Mus musculus: one gene and its partners. The protein of the gene in region 2 purifies or fractionates together with the protein of the main gene of each other region. This does not show direct contact. Links are inferred from orthologs where the notes say so. Each region holds a gene or a part of one and is shown on either strand. Other genes may lie near its edges.

The links.
Region 1: the proteins of Aak1 (region 2) and Ap2b1 purify together in Homo sapiens (affinity purification with mass spectrometry; 4 studies listed by BioGRID and IntAct, with this or other methods). This does not show direct contact. The link is inferred for Mus musculus from reciprocal best matches to the Homo sapiens genes AAK1 and AP2B1.
Region 3: the proteins of Aak1 (region 2) and Ralbp1 purify together in Homo sapiens (affinity purification with mass spectrometry; 3 studies listed by BioGRID and IntAct, counting the BioPlex papers as one, with this or other methods). This does not show direct contact. The link is inferred for Mus musculus from reciprocal best matches to the Homo sapiens genes AAK1 and RALBP1.
Region 4: the proteins of Aak1 (region 2) and Reps1 purify together in Homo sapiens (affinity purification with mass spectrometry; 3 studies listed by BioGRID and IntAct, counting the BioPlex papers as one, with this or other methods). This does not show direct contact. The link is inferred for Mus musculus from reciprocal best matches to the Homo sapiens genes AAK1 and REPS1.

Annotation. Positions count from the first base shown.
Region 1 is NC_000077.6:83,300,915-83,305,878, forward strand, and holds the start of Ap2b1 (AP-2 complex subunit beta), read left to right. Parts: upstream 1-1,782; 5' UTR 1,783-1,923; intron 1,924-4,964. UniProt on the Homo sapiens protein: Component of the adaptor protein complex 2 (AP-2). Adaptor protein complexes function in protein transport via transport vesicles in different membrane traffic pathways.
Region 2 is NC_000072.6:86,847,999-86,853,018, forward strand, and holds the start of Aak1 (AP2 associated kinase 1), read left to right. Parts: upstream 1-1,506; 5' UTR 1,507-2,054; coding exon 2,055-2,217; intron 2,218-5,020.
Region 3 is NC_000083.6:65,853,473-65,857,912, reverse strand, and holds part of Ralbp1 (ralA-binding protein 1), read left to right. Parts: intron 1-119; coding exon 120-251; intron 252-3,713; coding exon 3,714-3,821; intron 3,822-4,440. UniProt on the Homo sapiens protein: Multifunctional protein that functions as a downstream effector of RALA and RALB. As a GTPase-activating protein/GAP can inactivate CDC42 and RAC1 by stimulating their GTPase activity.
Region 4 is NC_000076.6:18,053,991-18,059,081, forward strand, and holds the start of Reps1 (ralBP1-associated Eps domain-containing protein 1), read left to right. Parts: upstream 1-1,949; 5' UTR 1,950-1,972; coding exon 1,973-2,125; intron 2,126-5,091. UniProt on the Homo sapiens protein: May coordinate the cellular actions of activated EGF receptors and Ral-GTPases.

The DNA of each region.
Region 1 (4,964 bases), on a different chromosome or scaffold from region 2:
TGAAAGGGGGAGGAAGGGGGAAAACACCCATTTGAGCAATCTTGGTTTAAAGTTGATCAATCATGGTTAGCCAGAGGGTCAAGATTTCCTGATTAATGGACCCACAAGACTACTCTATAAAAAGGAAACTGTATTCCATGAGAAAAGGAAAAAGTTAAAAATAGTATGTCCTGGTTGGTTATATAACTCAGTGGTAGGACGTGTGTGAAGCCCTAGGATCCTTTCCCAGTTCTGGAAAGAAAAATAGTGTCAGTTTTTATTTCAATTTGGTAATGTGCCAGTTTTTAGTTACCAAATAATGCATTAAAAACCCCAGTCTCAAATGTGTAGTCTAATAGAAGGCACATGATTAACCTTTCTATTAGAAGGCATTAAAGGCTAAGCCTGACCATCAGGTTTGGAGATCTTAAGTATATATTAAATGTAAGTTACATAGGAAATTATTTAATAGATGCTCAGTAAATAAATGTAATTGGGTTAAGTCATCTGTTTTGTTTTTCAAAGACAGTTTTCTGTGTAGCCCGGGCTGTCCAGGAATTCACATTGTAGACCAGGCTGGCCTTGAACTCACAAAGATCAACTTACCTCTGCCTCTTGATTGCTGAGGTTAAAGGCTTGTGCCACCACACCCAGTTGCCTTGAGTTTTTTGTTTTTAATATATAAAGATTTATTTTTTTTTTTTAATGTACACAAGTACACTGTAGCTGCCTTCAGACACCAGAAGAGGGCATCAGATCCCATTACAGATGGTTGTGACCCATCATGGGATTGCCTGGGAATTGAACTCAAGACCTCTGGAAGAGCAGCCAGTGCTCTTAAACACTGAGTCATCTCTCCAGTCCTACCATGAGTTTTTTAAGTTTCAAATCTGGCGGCTGGAGAGATGGTTCAGTGGTTAAGATCACTAGCTGCTCTTTCAAAGGACCTGGATTTTGTTACCAGCTCCCGCATAGCAGCTCACAGCTGTCTGAAATTCCAGTTCCAGGGGAACACTCTCTCACATACATACATGCAGGCAAAACACCAATGCACATTAAAAAACAAAATGAAAAAAAAAAGATTGTTCAATAGTAGAGTGAGGGGTGCCTGGTTAGAAGCACCACTAAGCCTTGGAGTCTAGGTATATAGATAGAGAAGTTCAAAGTGCTCTAGAGGCAGAAAGAAGCAAGAGGGCTTAGTTTTAGGCTTGTCTGAGTTACACAGCCCGACGTTGGTCTTTCTTTTCTTTTGAAGCTGGACATGGTAACTAAACGCCTGTACCAGTTTATAGTTTCCTAATGAAACCTGTATCCACAACCTGTTTTAGGTACCTTATACCACTCAAGCCTAAGGGCGGGGCAGGAAGGGGGCGCTAATAAGTTTCTCCAGTCTTGTTCAATGTAGGGATTCAAACTCAGATCTGAATGCTTCTTAGCCATCTTTGAGTCGCCGTCTCCTAGTTCATCCGTCCGTCTGTAGTCCTGGTTTCTATCACCTCTATGGGCTTCTTAACCTTACAAGCAAATTAGCTGAGGTTTGTGTTTGAGCAAATAGGATATCTCACACAGGTTTCACAAAAATCTTGTTCACGGGAATAAATCCCGAAAATACCCACTTATTGAAGATATCCGGTGGGAAAGCAACTGCGGGTCTCCTGAGTGTATAGGCAACTGCCCTATCCCTGAGACAGGGAAACCTTTCCGTTGCTGAGGCGACAGACACGACCTGGCCGTTTGGTTCTCCCGCGCACCCAGATGACGTCAGGCGGCGAGATTCTCTTACGCCAAAGCTTCCGGCTCACCATCTTTGTCCCTGGCAAATTGGGTTTTGCGCAGTGGCTTAGATCTAGAGAGAATCGTGACGGGCAGGAAACCATTACACCACCACCCCGGCTGTGCTCTCCGACTGCCGCCGCCGCCGCCGCCACCCCGCCCTTGCCTCCGGTGAGTTCAAGGCGGCTGGCTTTGGGGTGTGCCCTGACTGACTCGCGGTGCTTGTGAGGGAGGGGAGCCCCAAGCCGGGTCATAGGCTCAGGAGGAAAGGAGAGCCGAGGAGCGTGACGGTTGAGGGTGGAAGGAGTCCTCGGGTGTGACCGTTGTGAGGGAAAAGCTGGGAGAAAGTGCCTCCATCGTAGTGACCGTGGTGGCCTGGGGCTGCGCTCCGGTGTAGCAGCGGGAGTTGGGGGCTTCGGAGCGAAGCAAGGTTCCGAAGACCGGCTTGGGGAAGGCTCAGGCCAGGGGTGTGGCCGCTGGAGGCCGAGGGAGAACCACCCAGCTCTCCCGTTTGACATCTGTTCATTGAGAAAGAAGCTCCGACGTGTCTCCACGACTAGGGAGAAGGGATTCCCGCGACCGTTTGGTCACTGAAACCTCTCTTGTCGCACGTATTTGGGGTTAAGAGGCATCTCTCCTTACCTAGTGAAAATTGGACAGATTTCTTGACCTGGGGAAGTGGATAAAGAGAATGGGGACTAACTGTACTTCGAGGAAGGAAGGAGAAACCTGCATAATTGAGGCCACCCCCACCCTCTGTGTAAGAGGGGAAAATAAATCTTAGCATGGAATTTTGTTTTTCTTTTTTTTTTCCCCCCTCCCTATATTCCCTGGGGTTATCAGGAGCAGTCTAGTTTGGGCAAGGCTGTAAATTCTACTAGAAGTGAAAAAAAAAAAACAAAACAAAACCCTGGAATTTCCTGCTATTTCTTTATTCTTTGAATTCACAGGATGTATTAGCTTTTTGAGCAGCCCTCTTTTTAGGAGAAGGCTCTTATTAAACTCAAGCAATTTAGTTATGAAGCAGTGTGAATGTGTCATGGATGCTTCGCTGAATTTTTTTACTTTTAGAAGGGAGATTTTTTTTTCTTTTATTTTAGTGGCCAAACTTTTTTTTTTTTTTTGCAACCTTTGTGGTTTAAAAGACAAAGAACACACTGTAAGCTCAGTAAGGCTAGTGACTAAGAAGGAAGGTGGTCTCTTAGAGAGGAACAATTTAAATTATTAACTGCTCTCCTGTGCAGTTCACTGCTTAGCCTTAGGGTGCACTTACAAGGTAATAATAGAAAGCGGCAGGTGAAGTAGGTGCAGCCATCGGTAACACATTCCAGTGATGACTAAGTGAGGCGGGCGGGCATGTAAACTGAGAACTGAGTAGGTGCCTTGCAGGGTAGACTCCCTGAGAAAGAGAGGGGAGTGTGCGCTGCAAACAGCTCAGTCAAGTTGTGTGGTAAATTAAAACAGAGTAAATATCCTGATGAATTAAGATCAGAGAGGTCCCTCGCATCCTTTTCTTCTGGAAAAGATTTTGCTTTCGTCTCAAGGCACACATTTGAACCATGTTAGACAAGGGGCATTCAGAAGGAGGATAGCATCCCCATTTTTCTTCTTTCCTCCTGGGCTTAAGTTTTCCAAAATGTCCTGGCATTTCATAACAGTTGGGTGTAAGACTGTTGGGCTTCTTTCTTTCCGTATAATCCTATATTAATAAATTAACTTGTAGTTATTTAAATAGAAGCCAGAGGTGGATTTAGCTTTTAACGTTTTATTTCTGACAAGCTAAATTAATCTGAGGCTGCTGCTGTCCTTATGTTATGAACATCTGGCCAGCAATGGTCTTTATACCACTCATCCTTGTAAGCAGAGGTGACTGGAATGACTTTCTGCTTTAGAATTTACTGAACTCTGGCTAGTATTGACTTCATGTGCAAAGGAGGGCACAGTGGTCTTGCTAGTGCTAACGCTGGCTGCCATTTTCCAGAGAACCATTTGAAATTAAGACCTTATAATTTTTTTTTTCTGACTGTATTCTACCCAGCCTATTAATCTTGTTTCACTGCTGAGCTGCTCTTTTGGGGAATTGGAGGAAGGGAAGGCTGGAAGGAGAGAAAGGACTTCGACAACCTATATTTATCAGAAACTAGGTTATGTTAATCTAGATATATAACCTTGTACAGGGAGGCCTGGGAAAGGCAGTGGAGCAATGCTGTGGACTAGGACAAGTCCAAGGATCCTTGCCTTGCCCTGTGGCTGCTCTGTCCTTTAACAATGTCCCCAGGCCACACGATAAGTCAGTCAGTGACCTTTCAGGTTTCATGTCGTATAAGATTGTGTACGTTCAAATTCCATTGTGGCTTGTTTATTTCTAGGGATTTCCTGAAAAACAAAAATTTGCCCCAGTAAGATTGAGTTTTGAAGCACTAGGCAAGTTGAAATTGTGTTTTTCCCGTTCTCTTGTGGCTTGTGTGTGTGTGTCTTATGTGTGTGTGTCTTCTACTATAGGCATCAGTGTCTATCCGGCAAGTGTGGGGGGCTTGGATTAAAAAATAGTTATATGTCATTGTGAGTTGAAAGTCACGGGGACATTAAAGTTCTGTCATTACCACCTCTTCTCCTTTTAATTAAATACTTAAAATTCATGCAAGTATATAATGTGTTTCGATCCAGGCCATCCCTGCCCCCATCCTTCCTTTCTACTGTTGCTTTTGTTTAGACTATTTTCATTTTTCCTTGTCCCTCCCACCCCCTTAAAGCAAGGATAGACTGGATACCTTTTTTCTTTGCCTGTATGATGGTGATTATTTCATCACAATTATTGGCTATGGTGTCAGTTAAATGAGTGATATATTTACCTGCTTTTTTTTTTTCCTTCCTCTCCCCCTTTTGATGATGGAGATGTCTTATACCTGCTAGGTAAGCACTTTAGCATTGAGCTATATCCCTGGTCCAAAATGCCACTGAAGATTGAGCACAGGATTTTTCCTATATTAAGCAAGCCCTCTACTACTGGCCCTTTATTTATTTATTTTATTTTTATATGGGTATTTTGACTGCACGTAAGTCTGTATACCACTTGTGTATTCAGTGACTTCAGAGGCCAGAAGAGGGCAGATGGTTATAAGTTGCTAAGTGCATGGCAGGAACGGAACCCAGGTCCTCTGGAAGAACAGCTAGTGCTCCTAACTGTTGAGCCATCTCCAGCCTTATTTTAT
Region 2 (5,020 bases):
CTATCTCTCTCCGGAGAGTTATATGACTATGGTACCACATGAAATAAGAAACCGCAATAGCCACCGCCAGCACAGCCGGACTCAATATTCAGATTAACCAAGAGCCATCTTTTTTTGTTCTATTTTTCAAGACAGGGTTTCTCTGCATAGCCCTGGCTGCCCTGGAACTCATTCTGTAACCCAGGTTGTCCTCGAAATCAGAAATCTGCCTGCTTCTGCCTCCCAAGTGCTGGGATTAAAGACGTGAGCCACCACTGCCCAGCAAGACCCATCTTTTTTTATTTCCTGGGGGCCCCCTTCTAGATCTTCCTCAAGTGCCTGAAGTAGAAATTCTGGGATGAACTGCAAGAGGGTAGTTGCATCTTTAAGAAGTGTGGGGAGCTGGTGGAAAAATAACCTATACTCAAAAAAGAGAAAAAACCATGTATTTCTTGGGGGAGAGGGCAGGGGAGGCAGGGATTTGGCACGACAACAACATCTTCTGTGAAGCAATCTAGGAGGAGAGATCTCAATTCCTTTCCAAATCCTTAGCATTTGACAGGTGCCAATCACACAGCCCTGTACTCTATCCGCACCCAAGCGATCCTTAGTAAACACAGCATCTTCTTGCGAAAGATTCTGAAGAGAAAGCAGTAGGTGTGTCTAAAGTTCCCTTTAAAGGCGTGAATATATCTGGTAAGGACCAGGCAAATCTGGGTCGGCAGAGGGCCATGGTTTGGGGTGGAGCCCAAGGATGGATGTAGCCTGGTCCCTAGATGCTCCGTGTACTGGATCTCCCGCAGTTCCTTCTTCGACCCTCAGGCTTCTCAGTTCTCATCGTGGTCGGGGACCGGAAGACACCTGCTTTGTTTCCTTCAGCACCGAGATTCCGCTCGGCTCCCTGCTGGCATCATACCCACTTCTCCCCAGCCCCCAAGCCTTCAGTACCTCCGCTCCCATGACGTCGGGGAACTCCCAAACCCAACTGGGGCGAGGCAGCTAAACCGCGTCCTTCAGGTGTCAGTCCGGACTCCTGTGAAACCACAATTCCCAGAGTGCCTCTGTCCATGAGGCCAAGCCATAGATAAAATGGCTACAGAGAGTGGGACGTGCAGCTGGAAAACTAGTCTCTGGTGACTTTAGCAGATGTACTTAAATACCCGAAGCCTCACTTCTGCACCACTCCACTATCATCTCCAGTCCCTGGAGACGGCGTCCGAAGGTGCGCTCGCTCCCGGGGCATCTTGGGAATTGTAGTCCAGATGCCAGATTACCCCGAACTACTCTTCCCAGGGTGCTCAGCGGCAGGACTACGGCAACGCTCTCTTCCAAGTGTCTCTGTCCCGAGTTCCACTGCTCTGGTTCCCTTCTTGCCATCGGTTTCTTTCGCTCTGTAGCTATAGCTGGTGCACCTGAGACGGCCCCTGAGAAGGGGCTGTGCGGCCCTGAGAAGCACTTCCGGTGGCAGGTCACTTCCGGGTGGGTGGTCGGAGCCGACGGGCGCGCGCGCGGGGGAGGGGCGGCCTCAGCGCGGCGCTCGGGGATCAGCTGGCGGGCGGGCGGGCGCCGAAGCGGCCCCGGCTCTGCGGCAGCGCCGCCTCCTTCGTGTCGCAGGCCGGCGGCCGTGGCCATGTCGCGGGGCTGGTAGCTGGGCTCGCCGCCGAGCGGCCGCTAGTGGGTGTCCGGGGCCCGGGGCGGGGGTCCGGGCAGGGGTCCGGTGCGTTTCCAGGGCTTTCCCGAAGAAAATGCACGCAGCGTTTCCTCTGGATGACGGCCTGTGCTTTCCCTAGGACCCGGCAGTTAGGCTCTGGAGTGTGTTACTGATTCATCCTCTCTCTGCCTCTGTCATCGCAGGTTTAAACTTAAACGATCGCTCCCCGAGGAGGAGGGGACCCGCCGCGCGATTGACAGTCTATTCCTGCAGGCGCCGTCCCTCAGCCCCCACCCCACGGCCGGATTCCCGGGGCTCTGCTCAGGGCTGAAACCGGAGAAGAAATCCTTAGATCTCTTTTCTTTACAACAAATACGAACCTAGAAACCATCGGCATTTTGCCTTGGCATTTCATATTGGAAAGATGAAGAAGTTTTTCGACTCCAGGCGGGAGCAGGGGAGCTCTGGCCTGGGTTCAGGCTCCAGCGGAGGAGGGGGCAGCAGCTCAGGCCTGGGCAGTGGTTACATCGGAAGGGTCTTCGGCATCGGGAGGCAGCAGGTCACCGTGGACGAGGTGTTGGCGGAAGGTATGTTGGGAAGCCAGTGCGCGGTGAATTAATCTCGTGTGCTGATGTGGCAAGACTCTGGTTTCTAGTTGTATGAATGGGTTTTGACCAACTGACCCTCCCTTCCCCCTCTGCACTTTCCTTGCGAGTCATTGTCCTTGAGAGAATTAAAACTCAGACTGGGAATTGACAGGGCTTGGGGGGGCAGTATTGCCCAAATAGTTTACCTCAGTGGCCTTTCATTTGGGTGGGTGGGGGGAGCGCGTGGAGAAATCTCTTCCTTTGACCGAATTATTCGGATCCTATGTGTGAAGTATAAGTGAAATGCAGGGTGGTGGTCTTGCCATTTCCCTGAAACTTTAAATTCTGATGCGGAGGCTGAAGGGTGGGGATGGGGAGAGATCTTAAAGGAGAGGGGGGCTTCTCCCACCTAACTTTCCTATTTCTTTAAGTAGGTAGCCAAAGAGGATTTCTCTGGGGACAGGAATGCATTTTTTGGTGTTTTGGTTAGGTTTGTTTCTTTACCCAACTGCAGTGAGGTCCCCAGGATGTGGCTAAGATAAAATCATAAGCGAATGAGATGGTTTTGAACTCAGACGCCTAGGCCTCTTTTCTCCTTTTAGTTTCTATTAAGAATGACTTAGGATTGGCTCTGGTTTAGTGTTCTCTCAGTTGGAGAGGATGCTGTGTGGTTTCTCTCGGTGTGTGCTCGTTGGTCTATCTGTGCTCCTGCAGATACATATTTTTCTGCCCCAGGCTTTAGGGAAAATCTTGAGTGTTTCTTGGGTAACCTTAACCTCGACCTTCGTAATTATGCCAGACTGATACTTTTCACAGCTCATTGCCTGCTTACTGTGCTTTTATTTTTAATAAAAGCAGCAATTTCCTTGGCATGAAGCAATTTAAACTAATTGGATAGGACCAGTCTGCTGTAGGTTGCGTTACAGCCTGCCAAGGCTTGGGTCTGGGGGAGGCCTCAGTGAAGGCAGCATGGTGGTAGAGGCTAGTCTATCAGCGAGGGAAGGAGGAATGAGAGCTAAGCAGCCCCTTCGAAAAGGAGGCTTTTGCAAGCTGAGGTTGAAGGAAGGACCTCTACCTGGGCCTAGGAACTGCCTGTCATGGTGAGTCTTGTAGGGTGGTGGACGGGTGGGTGGGAAGAGGCCAAAGCTGTGTTAGACTTAGTTTGTGTAAGTACTGGATTTGGCAAGGCCCAGTTTCTGAGGATACATTGAAGCCTATACTTAAAAAGCACAATTTTGAAGAGATATCTGATAATTTCCTTGTAAATTACTGCTGCTTTTTTTATTTTTTATTTTCCATTCTTAGTATTGTTCCGACTGGACTTAATCTGGGCCTGAGTTACAATCCTTTCTGAACCTTTCCTTGAGGATTCTGGTGCAGGGTGGGAGATGCTGCTATGTCTGCTGCCAGATCTGTACCTTGGAATCTGAGCTGACTCTTATCCTGTAGCCAAAGTCCTTGACTACAGTGGGGGGTGGGGAGGGAGAGGGGGGTGAGAGAGAGAGAGAATGAGGAAGGAGATGAGATCAGGAGGATGGCCTCAGAGCCCAGGAACATTTTTTTCAGCTAGGATGTTTTCTCATCACGTGTTGCCCTAAGCTTTGCTTATTCTCTGAGTCTGGAAGAGTGGTGGGAAAGAGAAAACACAGAATCAGCCTTTGTTTTCTAGGCTTCCCTGGAATTCATCCTGAGAGCTGCACATTGTGCATTCTGATATTTTAAAAAGTAGAACTTTGGGCTTGGATCTGTTGATTCATTCGTTTATTCATTCAGCCAACAGTCACAGAGTGCTTGTGATGTGGCCAGTTCTGTGCTAGGCTCTGGGGACATGATGTTTAACTAGATGTTAGCATTTCAGAGCTGTTTGAAGAGATAGAAAATGGACAGTTAGTGATAGTGTCACCGTAAGAGTAACCTACGGATCAGTTGCTACAAATCTTGTCCTTAGGGCCCCTCAGTGTTAGGGAGCTAAGACACGTTTTGTGGAATGAGCGAGTGTGGTAACAGCACGGGCTGAGGCTGTGCATGAGTGTAGCATTTAAAATTTGGTCTGGCAAATTTTTTGGCTATGATTGAGCTTCAGTTGTGGCCTTTGAAGTACGTGACTATGTAGGAGTCAGTATTTATGTGGCACTACTGAGTTCAAAGACACTGCTAAGGTTTAAAAGGGGTGAGAGATAGAAACTCTAAAGTGTGATGCGTGCCTTTTAAAATTAGCCAGTGGGTTTCATTGAGGTGCTGAGATCATGCTTGTGTTGTGCAAGGTAGCCAGGTAGCTACATCTCCAGCCGTGATGTCTGCCTTTAGGGAACTGCTAGTCAGTGTAGGAAGAAAATAAATTCATTTGTACATATAGTAGTGTGCTTATGGCCACAGATCCTATAGTCGGACAGATTTAGGGTCAATTTTTGGATTTGTTTTTGTTGTTAAACCTTTTTACATCGTGTGTGTATGTTTTCTCTAAGATAGCTCACCATTTCCTGGACCTGTTTTAAAAAGCATCTATTATATTATTACTACTATTGTTGTGCATGTATGCTGCACACAAGAATGTGTGTGCATGTGTCACAGAGTGCAGAAGTCAGAAGGCAGCAGTGTGATGTTAGCTTGCCTCTTCTACCTTTACATGTGTTTTGGGGTCTAGAATCAGATTGTCAGACTTTTGTGACAAGTGCCTTTTCTTGGTGAACCGTTTTGTTGGTCCCCTCTGAATCTTTTGTTTGTTTCTTTTTTCTCTTCTTTATATTTTTCTTTTCTTTTCTCTCTCTTTCTTTCTTTCTTTCTTTCTTTCTTTCTTTCTTTC
Region 3 (4,440 bases), on a different chromosome or scaffold from region 2:
AGGGACTGAGGTCGCTGTTGCTGTGCAGATCGAGAGCTGGGGGTCTTCATCTGAGAAACTGCAGGTGCTGCTGTCAGATAACAAGACCAGTGGACACCATGTATCCTTTTGTTATCTAGGAGTTCCTTTTGAATTGTTTACATCGAGATCTGCAGGGCGGGATAAAGGACTTATCTAAAGAAGAAAGATTATGGGAAGTACAGAGGATTCTGACTGCCCTCAAGAGAAAGCTGAGGGAAGCTAAAAGACAAGTGAGTTATTCTCTTACATCTTGTGTCTAATAAACCTACAGGAAGTGTGGATGAGCCTTCTGTACACTGCTGTAAGATATTCTTTTAAAAGTAGAACATACCTGTCTGTTGATGCTAAATTCTCTGGTGGGAAATTTATTCACACAAATGTTTCCTGCTTTGTGTTATTCATACTTTAGTGTGGTATAAATCAAATATTTCATTAAGTTTAGAAAGACTTTTTGTTTTTTAATTACAAAGGTGATCTTGTTATTTCCTGCCTGGTTTGTGTCTGTGGACAGAGCTGTAAGAGTGAGAGACACTGCTGAGAAGTTTGAGTTTTGAATGGAAATGCAGGGCTGGAAGGCCCAGGACGGATTCTGCTTTGCAGTCACTGGAGGGAAGAACCGTGTGGCCCTGCTGCTTTGTTGGGAGTGCACAAGGCCCACTTGTGGTTTTGTGCTACTTTAGTGTGTGAAGCTGAGTCTGGATTCAGTTTCCCAGTCACATCAAAGCTAAAATCCACACCTCTGAAAGGTCGTACAAGCCACATGCAGACCCAGCAGCAGATTGAGTAGCACAGCCTGCGGACACTAGTTAACACCTCTGGGACCTGGAGAGTGGAGCTGTGGGTCATTGTGAGAAGACAACACCTCAGGCCTTTTGCTTCAAGGATACGGCACTTGTTGAGAGCACAAGCCTGAGATCCTTGTAGCTGCACACAGTTTTCAATCTGGGAGGGAACCTTTCCTTTTGTTTTTCTCTCCAGCTCACTAAACTGTCAATCTTTTGTTTCCTCTGTCTCATGGACTCTTTTTGTTGTTGTTGTTGTTTGTTTGTTTTAATAAGATCTCATGTGGGCCAGTAGTCTCAAGTTTGTTCTATAGCCAAGGTGACCTTGAACTCTGGATCCTGCTGCCTCTGTCTCCCACATGCTGGATTATAGGCATGGGCCACCATGCTTGGCTTTGGATGTGTGCCTAAGTTTCCCAGGGCAGATTGCAGTTGTTGATCTAATTGCGTTGTCCAGCAGCCCTTATGTGAAGAGTCCGGGACATAGATGGATGTTTGGCTTTTGTGTCTCTTCGTTATGTGTGTCTGTGTTGAATAAAAGGACTCTAGCTGTGGAAACGGCTTAGTTGCTTAGTGCTTGCTTTTGCAAAGATAAGTACCAGAATTCAGTCCATAGCACTCGCGTGTTATGGCTTATACCTGTAATCTCAGCACTGGGAAGGCAGACAGGAGGTCCCTGAGCTTGAAGGCCAGATAGTCTAGAGGTCAAGGTTAAGTGAGAGACCTTGACTCAAAAAAAAAAAAAAAGTTTGAGAATGGATTAAGAATGACACCCAACAAAGACTTCTACACACGTGCACACAAATGTGCATACAAGTACATGACTATACTTGTTTGTGAGCACACACATACATATATCAGAGGCAGTGTGGTTGTATGACAAGGGACAGCTATCTTCTCTTTTTCCTCTTACCAATTGTATTCTCTCCCTGACCATTCCCTCTCCTTGATGACTTATTTTGTAACTACATGCTCAGGTTCCTTCATGCTGGCTTCTCTTTTGAGGGAGAAATTACTTAAAGAAGTATCATTCAGTGGATTAGTGACTGAAAATAAGAAAAATATAGCACCAGTTTAACCCTGATATCATCTTGGCACTTTCCCAAAAATTAACCATGTAATTATCAATCGTATAGTGCAGAAATTTCACTCAGCCATTATCCTCTAAGAGAAGCAGCCACAACCCATAAGCCTTCACAGAACATTTGCAGACTGTTCATAACAGCTAAAGCAGCAGCCCCAGAGCCCTGCAGCTGGTGAGAGGGTATAAAGTTAGGATGCATTCATTCCAGCCTCCCCATCTTCCCTCTGCCCTCACTACCTGTATCTCACTGGTGCGTGTTCACCCTCTGGGTGGTTCACACTCATTCACACACACACACACACACACATACACACCTCAGGAACAAACAGTTCCAGAGTCCTCCTTAACTCTTGCCCTGGGTCTCTGGAGGTTTCTGCCCCACGTTGGGCACCATCTGACCAAGCCAGCTCAGTCAGTCAACAAGTTCTCCAGGGCAAGAGCAAGGAGTAAAAAGAAAAAAGACAATTAGACAACATTGCAGCATGACCCCAACCAGCTCTGAGACTGAGGTGGGTTTATTTTTTACCAATCTGCTTTTATACCATTTTAATTACATGCAAGTAATTAGGTCAGTTCTAGGTTAAGGAAAAAGCAAGACAATAAACACAAATAGGCGAGGAACAAGCAAGGCAATAAACAAAGCCCCGGGATCGAAGTTTCTAGGCCTTATCAGGATGACCAAGATATCTGAGCCTACTTCCCTGTCCTAGTCCAAAGTCACATTCTTGCTTAAGCCTACTTCTTTGTTCTAGCCTAAAATCAGATTCCTGCCTGGACTTCCTTTCCTGTCCTAGCCCAAAAGTAGATTCCTACCTGAGCCTGCTTCCTTGTCCTGACCCAAAATTAGATTCCTGCCTGAAACCTACCTCCCTGTCCTGACCCCAATGTCAGATTTCTGCCAAGCAGCTCCAAAAGCTCTCCACAGTTCACACACTGGTTGTCACTGAGCAACTACTCACACCAGCATAACAGACAGAAGCATCTTAAAGCCAAGTATAAAGCTAGAGAGAAATGACCTGTTGAGCCAGTTCATCTGAGACCCGAGAGAGAAGCTGTTAGGATTGAGAGCAGGTCTGTGGTGCTGGGCACCAACAGATGGAGCAAGGGCAATGTTTCCTAACAGGGTGGTGGTGGTTACTTGACTATGTGTATTTGGTAAAATTAGTTACATTATGAAATTGACACCCAGTAGCTCCCTTCAAGACATCTCATGCAGTCAGGATTAAGGGAGCATATTCATCAGAAATAAGCATTTTTCATAGTGTAGCCACAGACCGAGATAACCATGTCATGGTCTTTTCTTACTTTAAAATGTTTATTCTTTGTGTGTGCGTGTGCATGTGGGTATGGACATGCAGTGGCACGAGTGTGGAAGTCAGAGAACAACTTGCCAGAGTCAGTTCTCTGCATTGTGTGAGTCCTAGGGAAGGCTTCTTGATACCAAGTGTCTGCCACGGGGCCACCTTGCAGTCTCGAACCACATCATAGTCTTTTATGGTTTGATTTGGTTTTTTCTTTTTGAGATGGGGTCTTTCTGTTGTCCTGGGTGTCCTGGAATTTACTATGGCCTTGAACTTCAAGCTAGCCTTGAACTCACATAGCTCCTCCTACCTCTGCCTCCTGAGTGCTGGGATTAAAGGCGGGTACCACCATCCCTGCTCTTACCTACAGTATATTCTAAGCCTAGTTAGCAAATGTCCGGTCATCATTACAGACAGTTCCCTACTGCTGCTGGGGTTTTCTTCATTTCTGTAATTTAAGAGGACCATTTGTTGATTGTGTGTTACATGTAGGCCGAACAGTTCATCATGTGTTGTCTTTGACAGGAGTGTGAAACCAAGATTGCACAGGAGATAGCTAGTCTTTCAAAAGAGGATGTTTCCAAAGAAGAAATGAATGAAAACGAAGAAGTTATAAATATCCTTCTTGCCCAGGCAAGCTATACCTTTTGATTTCTAAAGGGATTTATTGGTCATTTTTCAAATAGAAGCACAACTATAGACTTTTTAAAACCAAAATTGTAATGAACTCCAAAGAAGTTGTTCCTGTTCTGTGGCCCTACCCTTGTGCTGTGTGTGCTGAAATGTTAAGTGTGGAGGGAGAAAGAAGCTGCCTTCTGTTTAGCTTCCTCGTTTCTGTAAGTCGACATAGAAGTATTGTGGCATGTTCCTGATTTACAAGAACAGAAACAAAAACTCTGAGGAGAGAGAAGCCCCAGATGATTTTCTTAGAGTTTCCCACCTCAGCTTTCTTGGAGTATAACTTCATCCATATATGCTCTGAGGTAAACGACGAGGGTCTGTGTTTGAGCATGGAGAAGTGGCCTCTCTCACTCGGGAACTTTTCAGTGGTTCCTGGACTGTGCCCACAGTGCCCACGGTGCCCACGGTGCCCCTTGTTTGGAAGGAGTTGCTGGTGCTCTTGCCTCCAAGGCATCTTCTCTCTACTGTTTGCTCTAGACCCGAGAGCCCTAGCTGGAGTGCAGGCAGGGCGCTCTCCACATCACTGCTCTCAAGCAGTTTAGGAATGGTTAACCTGTCAAGAGTTCTTACT
Region 4 (5,091 bases), on a different chromosome or scaffold from region 2:
AAGAATTCAGGTTAAGAAGAGCAAACACAGCACAACAGCTGGAGATCAGGTGTTAGCGGGACTGTTCTCCAAGACGGAGCCCTCGGAACAGGAGAAGGAACGTGCAAATGTCTGTGTGAGGTTTCAGAAGGAACAAAGGCTTAGGGCAGGATAGAGCTGCTAGGCCATGGGGAGGTGGCAGGGGAAAAGAGACCAGTGACAGCAGGAATCAGTCCCTACCTCATTGAACCTATCTTTTAAAAATGCACACACACACACACACACACACACACACACATACCCAAACTGCAATTGTGAGTATGAATTGTAAGACGTACTAAGCACTATATGAAGTAGAGTAACATGAAAATATCGCCACAAAGTGGCATCTATAAAGACTTACATAAAGAGCTTCACAGACGTTCATTTAGATTTAGCCTCCAAAGGAGGCATTTGGTGCCAGAGTTCTTCTTTCTGTTTTCTGGGCTGTTTGAGATAGGGTCTAGGTTGGCCTTCTGTGTTCTGTGAGGCTGAACATGACCTTGAACTTCTGATCCTCCTGTCCTCTACCTCCCAAATGGCTGGGATTACAGGTAAGCACCACCACACTTGATCTATGCAGTGCTGGGAATAGAACCCAGGGCGTTGTGCACACAGTGCTCTAACAAATGAGCTATATCCCCAGCCCTCTATGTCTGCTCATTCTTATAATGATGTCCCCTTAATGGGCTCTATGTAACAGAGAATAAAAACCAAACTTGAAAAGCCCTCTGTGTAATCTTCCTTGGCTCCCGTTTCTGAAATACTTCATATTTAATGCTGACAAGGTCGCGGGCTGACTGGTGATGGTATCCCTTCACTAGGAAAGAAAAGGCAGGGGATCAAGAGTTCAAGTCCAGCCTGACTTCATAGAGTTTCAGGAAAGAAATACTTTTAAAAGATTAAAGGCTCGTTAAGGGTCTATGAACTCCAGAGACAGATGCAGATTAAGACTCCCCCCCCCCCACCCCCCAGAGGAAGGAAGGGATGGTGAGCAACAAGAGGGCCTGGAGTTGGCTGAAGGCCTACACAGGTTTCCCGAGTGGATGGCATAAACCGACAGTATTTGGTTCTCGGTGAAAAAAAAAAAAAAAAAAGGTGACTTTTTTTTTCTTTATTTCTATTTTTTCAAACTTGGTTTTACAGAAGACCCGGCTTGGGACCAGATCGAGTTCAGCCTTGGTTTAAGCGTCCACACCTGAGCAAGCTTCCCTGCTTCAGTGGACGGCGCAAAGCGATGCACTTATCCTCGTTAAGTGCAAACCGTTAGGAAATGCTGCACGCCAGAAGCTGCCGCACCCCAGCCCGCAGTGCGACCTGAACCCTCCGCGTCGCTGGGACGCCGGTCGGTCCCCAAGTGCCCCCAGCCTGGGGTCCTCGCGGAGGGCGCCCAGGGCCACTCGCCGCGCCCCGCCGTGCCGCGGGGCTCCGGCCAGCAGGGGGCGCTGCGGCCCGCTCTCCCGGGAGCGGCCGAGCCAGCCCGGTGGGTGTTTCTCTCTCTCTCTCTCCCTCTCCCTCTCCCTCTCGCGCTCTCTCCTCCCGGCCTCACATCCGGGTCTGGAGCGCGGCCGCCGCTGTCAGTGCCGGGCCGGGGCGCAGTCAATGGCGGCCGAGGGAGGCGGAGCGGCGGCCACGCGCAGCCCCGAGCCCCCGAAACTTTAGACTTCGGAAGCCCCACAACTTCTCGGAGGGGGGCGCGTGGGCGGAAGGGGAAGCCGAGGCGGGAAGCCCGAGGGACGCGGCCGAGCCCGGAGCCGCCGCCTCCTTTTCCCCACGCCGAGCTTGCGGCCGCGCACAGCCGCGCGCCACCGCCGCCGGCTGCCCCGGGCCACACGAGCTCGCGGCCCCGCGGGGAGGCCGTGCCGTGCGCAGTACCCCGCCGGCCGCCCCGGGTCGCGGGGCCGGCGCCCGGGTGGTGCATGCGGGGCGGGGCGGCCGCCGGGCCGAGGCGAAGATGGAAGGCTTGACGCTGAGCGACGCCGAGCAGAAATACTACTCGGATCTCTTCTCCTACTGCGACATCGAGAGCACCAAGAAGGTGGTGGTCAACGGGCGAGTGCTCGAGCTGTTCCGGGCCGCGCAGCTGCCCAACGACGTGGTCCTCCAGGTACCGCCGCGTCCCCGGCCGCGCGGGCCCCGGGCAGCGGCAGCGGGAGTGGGCTCCCCCGGGGACGGGCAGAGGCCGCAGGTGCGGGAGCGGGGTGCGCGGGGACCCCTGGAGGGGGAGGGCTCGCCGTCCGGGTGGGGGCGGGGGTCTGCGGAGCCTGCATCCCTCCGGCAGCCTGTGCACTGGAAGAGCAAGGTCCCGGGTCTCTCGGGTTGTGTGTGCATCCTAGCGTCTGCTGGATATGCCTACTATAGTCACATAGCTCTTCGACTCCCGCACAATAGGAAAGTTACGACTATAGGCAGGCAAAATGCCATATGGATTTTTGAGCGAGCCGAGCAGACTCGATGAAGTGAGATTTGTTACGCTTAAGGTATCCAAGAAGCAGGTGGTTTGGGTTTTTTTTTTAGGGGGGGGGTTGTTTTGTTTTGTTTTAAATTTAAGGAAGCTGTGTTCTTAGGGGAGACTAAGAAATTTGAACTTCTGGCTGATACTTGGCATGTAGATAGATGTGAAAAGAACTTGGTCGTAGAATGGGTGGCCGGTGGACAGTATCTTCTAGTGCCCTTCCCGGGAATAGTCAGTGGAGCTTGTGGGTTTGGTTTGGGATTTATTGAACAGCTGGAATCAGACAGCGGATAGTCTCCTCAGTCTGTAACTCTGCCACTCGTAACTCTGTAGCAGCAAGGGTAAACCTTCTTTGTCGCCTGTTTTAGAAGTGCTAATATTTGTGATGAGCATTAATGCTACTGCTTAATGATTCATAGCTGCTATAGTAAGAGCCTGTTTAAACTGTATGGGAGGAAGGAACCGTCTTAAGTTTTCATCCTCATATTGATCCCAAGCCAGTTATCCAAATCTCCAAACACATGGAGATGGAAGTGGATATAATGCAGTGGAAGCAGAATATTGGGCCAGAGGTTTGATTTTACTTTGTTTTGAGACAGCTTATTGCTTTATATCCCAGACTAGCCCTGAACTCAGGGTCCTGTTGCCCCCTCAACTGCTCAGGTGCTGGGACGTGGGTGTGGGCTGGGCCAGGAGTCTCCAGGCTTTTAGAAATCTCATCACTCTGCCTCCTCAGCCTCCAGTTCTCTGAGGCCCATCTTAGAGTGAAAGTCAGTTTTCTTCTAACAGAAACCCTTGTGATATAAAAATTTCTACACACACCTCGAATATAGACAATACCCGAGTGCCTACTGTGGTTTAGGGAGTGAATTCTTTCTCACTTTGCTTTTGTTTCATTTTGTCATTTTTTCTTAACCCTGGGGTGTGGTGGGGAAAGGTGAGTGTTTTAGGTACCAGGGAAGGATAAGAAAGTCTCAGATCTGTGCTGCTGAAGAGGACAACATAGTGACAATTTTAGGCTTTCCCAACAATTCAGATTCTGTGTGGATTCACTGTTTTTGTTTTTATGGCCCTCTTACGATGAGGAAACCAGGTTTAGCTTGGGTTCACACAAAACATCCCATAGTTTGCTGATGGGTTAAATGATATGGGGCTAGTGTCTAATGGATTTGGTACAAAACTTACAGGTTCTGGACAAGAAGCCCCCCATATTCTATTTTAGCTCATGTCTTTGGGGTTCAGAGTTAACTGGAAATGACTTTGTCATTCTAATGGTACACAAGACTTTTTTAGGGTGTTTACATGTTTAGGGCATAGAAATTAGTGTCCATTAACCTCCAGCTGAGATATGTTCAATTGAATCCAACTTATTTTCATATTTTACTCAATTGTATTGGCATTTGAAAATAAATTTCTATTATCTTTGTACATAGGTAGCTTAAGTCGTTTAAATATTTGGGATTCAATTACACGTTGGAAATTGTAGGATCCCTGAAGCAAGACTTCCACAGTAACATGATCAGGTTGACGATCCCTGACCAGGATATCTGCAGTACTCCTAACCTGAAAACTTTGAGGGCCAAAATATCACAAGTGGAAAATTCCATATTATGAAACTTTCTTGTTCAGAATTATCATTCTTTTAAATTGACTCTCAAACTGTGGGACTACTGTGCATATGAGATGTAAAGAGATCTCTTCAAACTTGGATCCTACCCCCAAGATATCTCATTGTGTGTACACAAACCTTCAGTTTCAAGCATTGCTGATAAAGAATAGCCAACCTGTACTGAATAGCAATCTGGAGTCTTGAAGGCAGCTTACTTAAAATTTGGCCTAAGACATAGAAATGTGAGACTGAAGGGGAATGTGGATTTAGTTTCTCTTATGAGAGTTTGAGATTTTCTGAAAACAGCATTCCATGGCTCTCAGGGAGAAGCATTGGGGGTAATTCAAACATATCCCAGTTTTGTTCTCTTTGTTGAGCTAGATGTTGGAGGTTCAACAGAAGCACAAGGTGCTCTGAGGGCTTTGTAAATTACAGGACCATTCAGGTGTAAAGAAAAGTGGACCTGGGAGAGGCACGTTGTGTTCACAAGCACAAAGGAGATAAAGACACAGTTCAGATGGACTTCTGCGTTGAGATGGGGAGGGGAGATCTGCTTCCAGGCCGAGGAAAAATATGACCAAAGTCATCCGAGCCTTTTCAAGGACTAGTAGATAGTAAGATTTTACCTAAGCTAAAATATGTTTGGAGCTAATGAAACAGTTAGGAAGAGGCCCTATTACTAAAGACTGGGGGCAGGAGACTTCATACATTCAGTAGGCAGCAGTGGAGAAGCTTGGGAAGGTTTTGGCTTTGAATGTAGTGAGCATAGAGGATGGGGAAGGAGGCTCTTCCAGAGGTCTGGCATGGCTGCTGGGTAATGCACACCCAAACCAGAGGGACAGCCCTCGAATGGAAAATAAGGGTGGGTGTCCTTCTGAAGAGCAGCTGGGTTCGTACTGCTTTACTGTGTGAAGTGCCTTGTGGGACAGTACTTAATGGAGTCCAGATGATCAAGACTGGACCGGGAGCTCAGAACTAACTGTGAAGGGTATTTGAAAGAAATGATTCA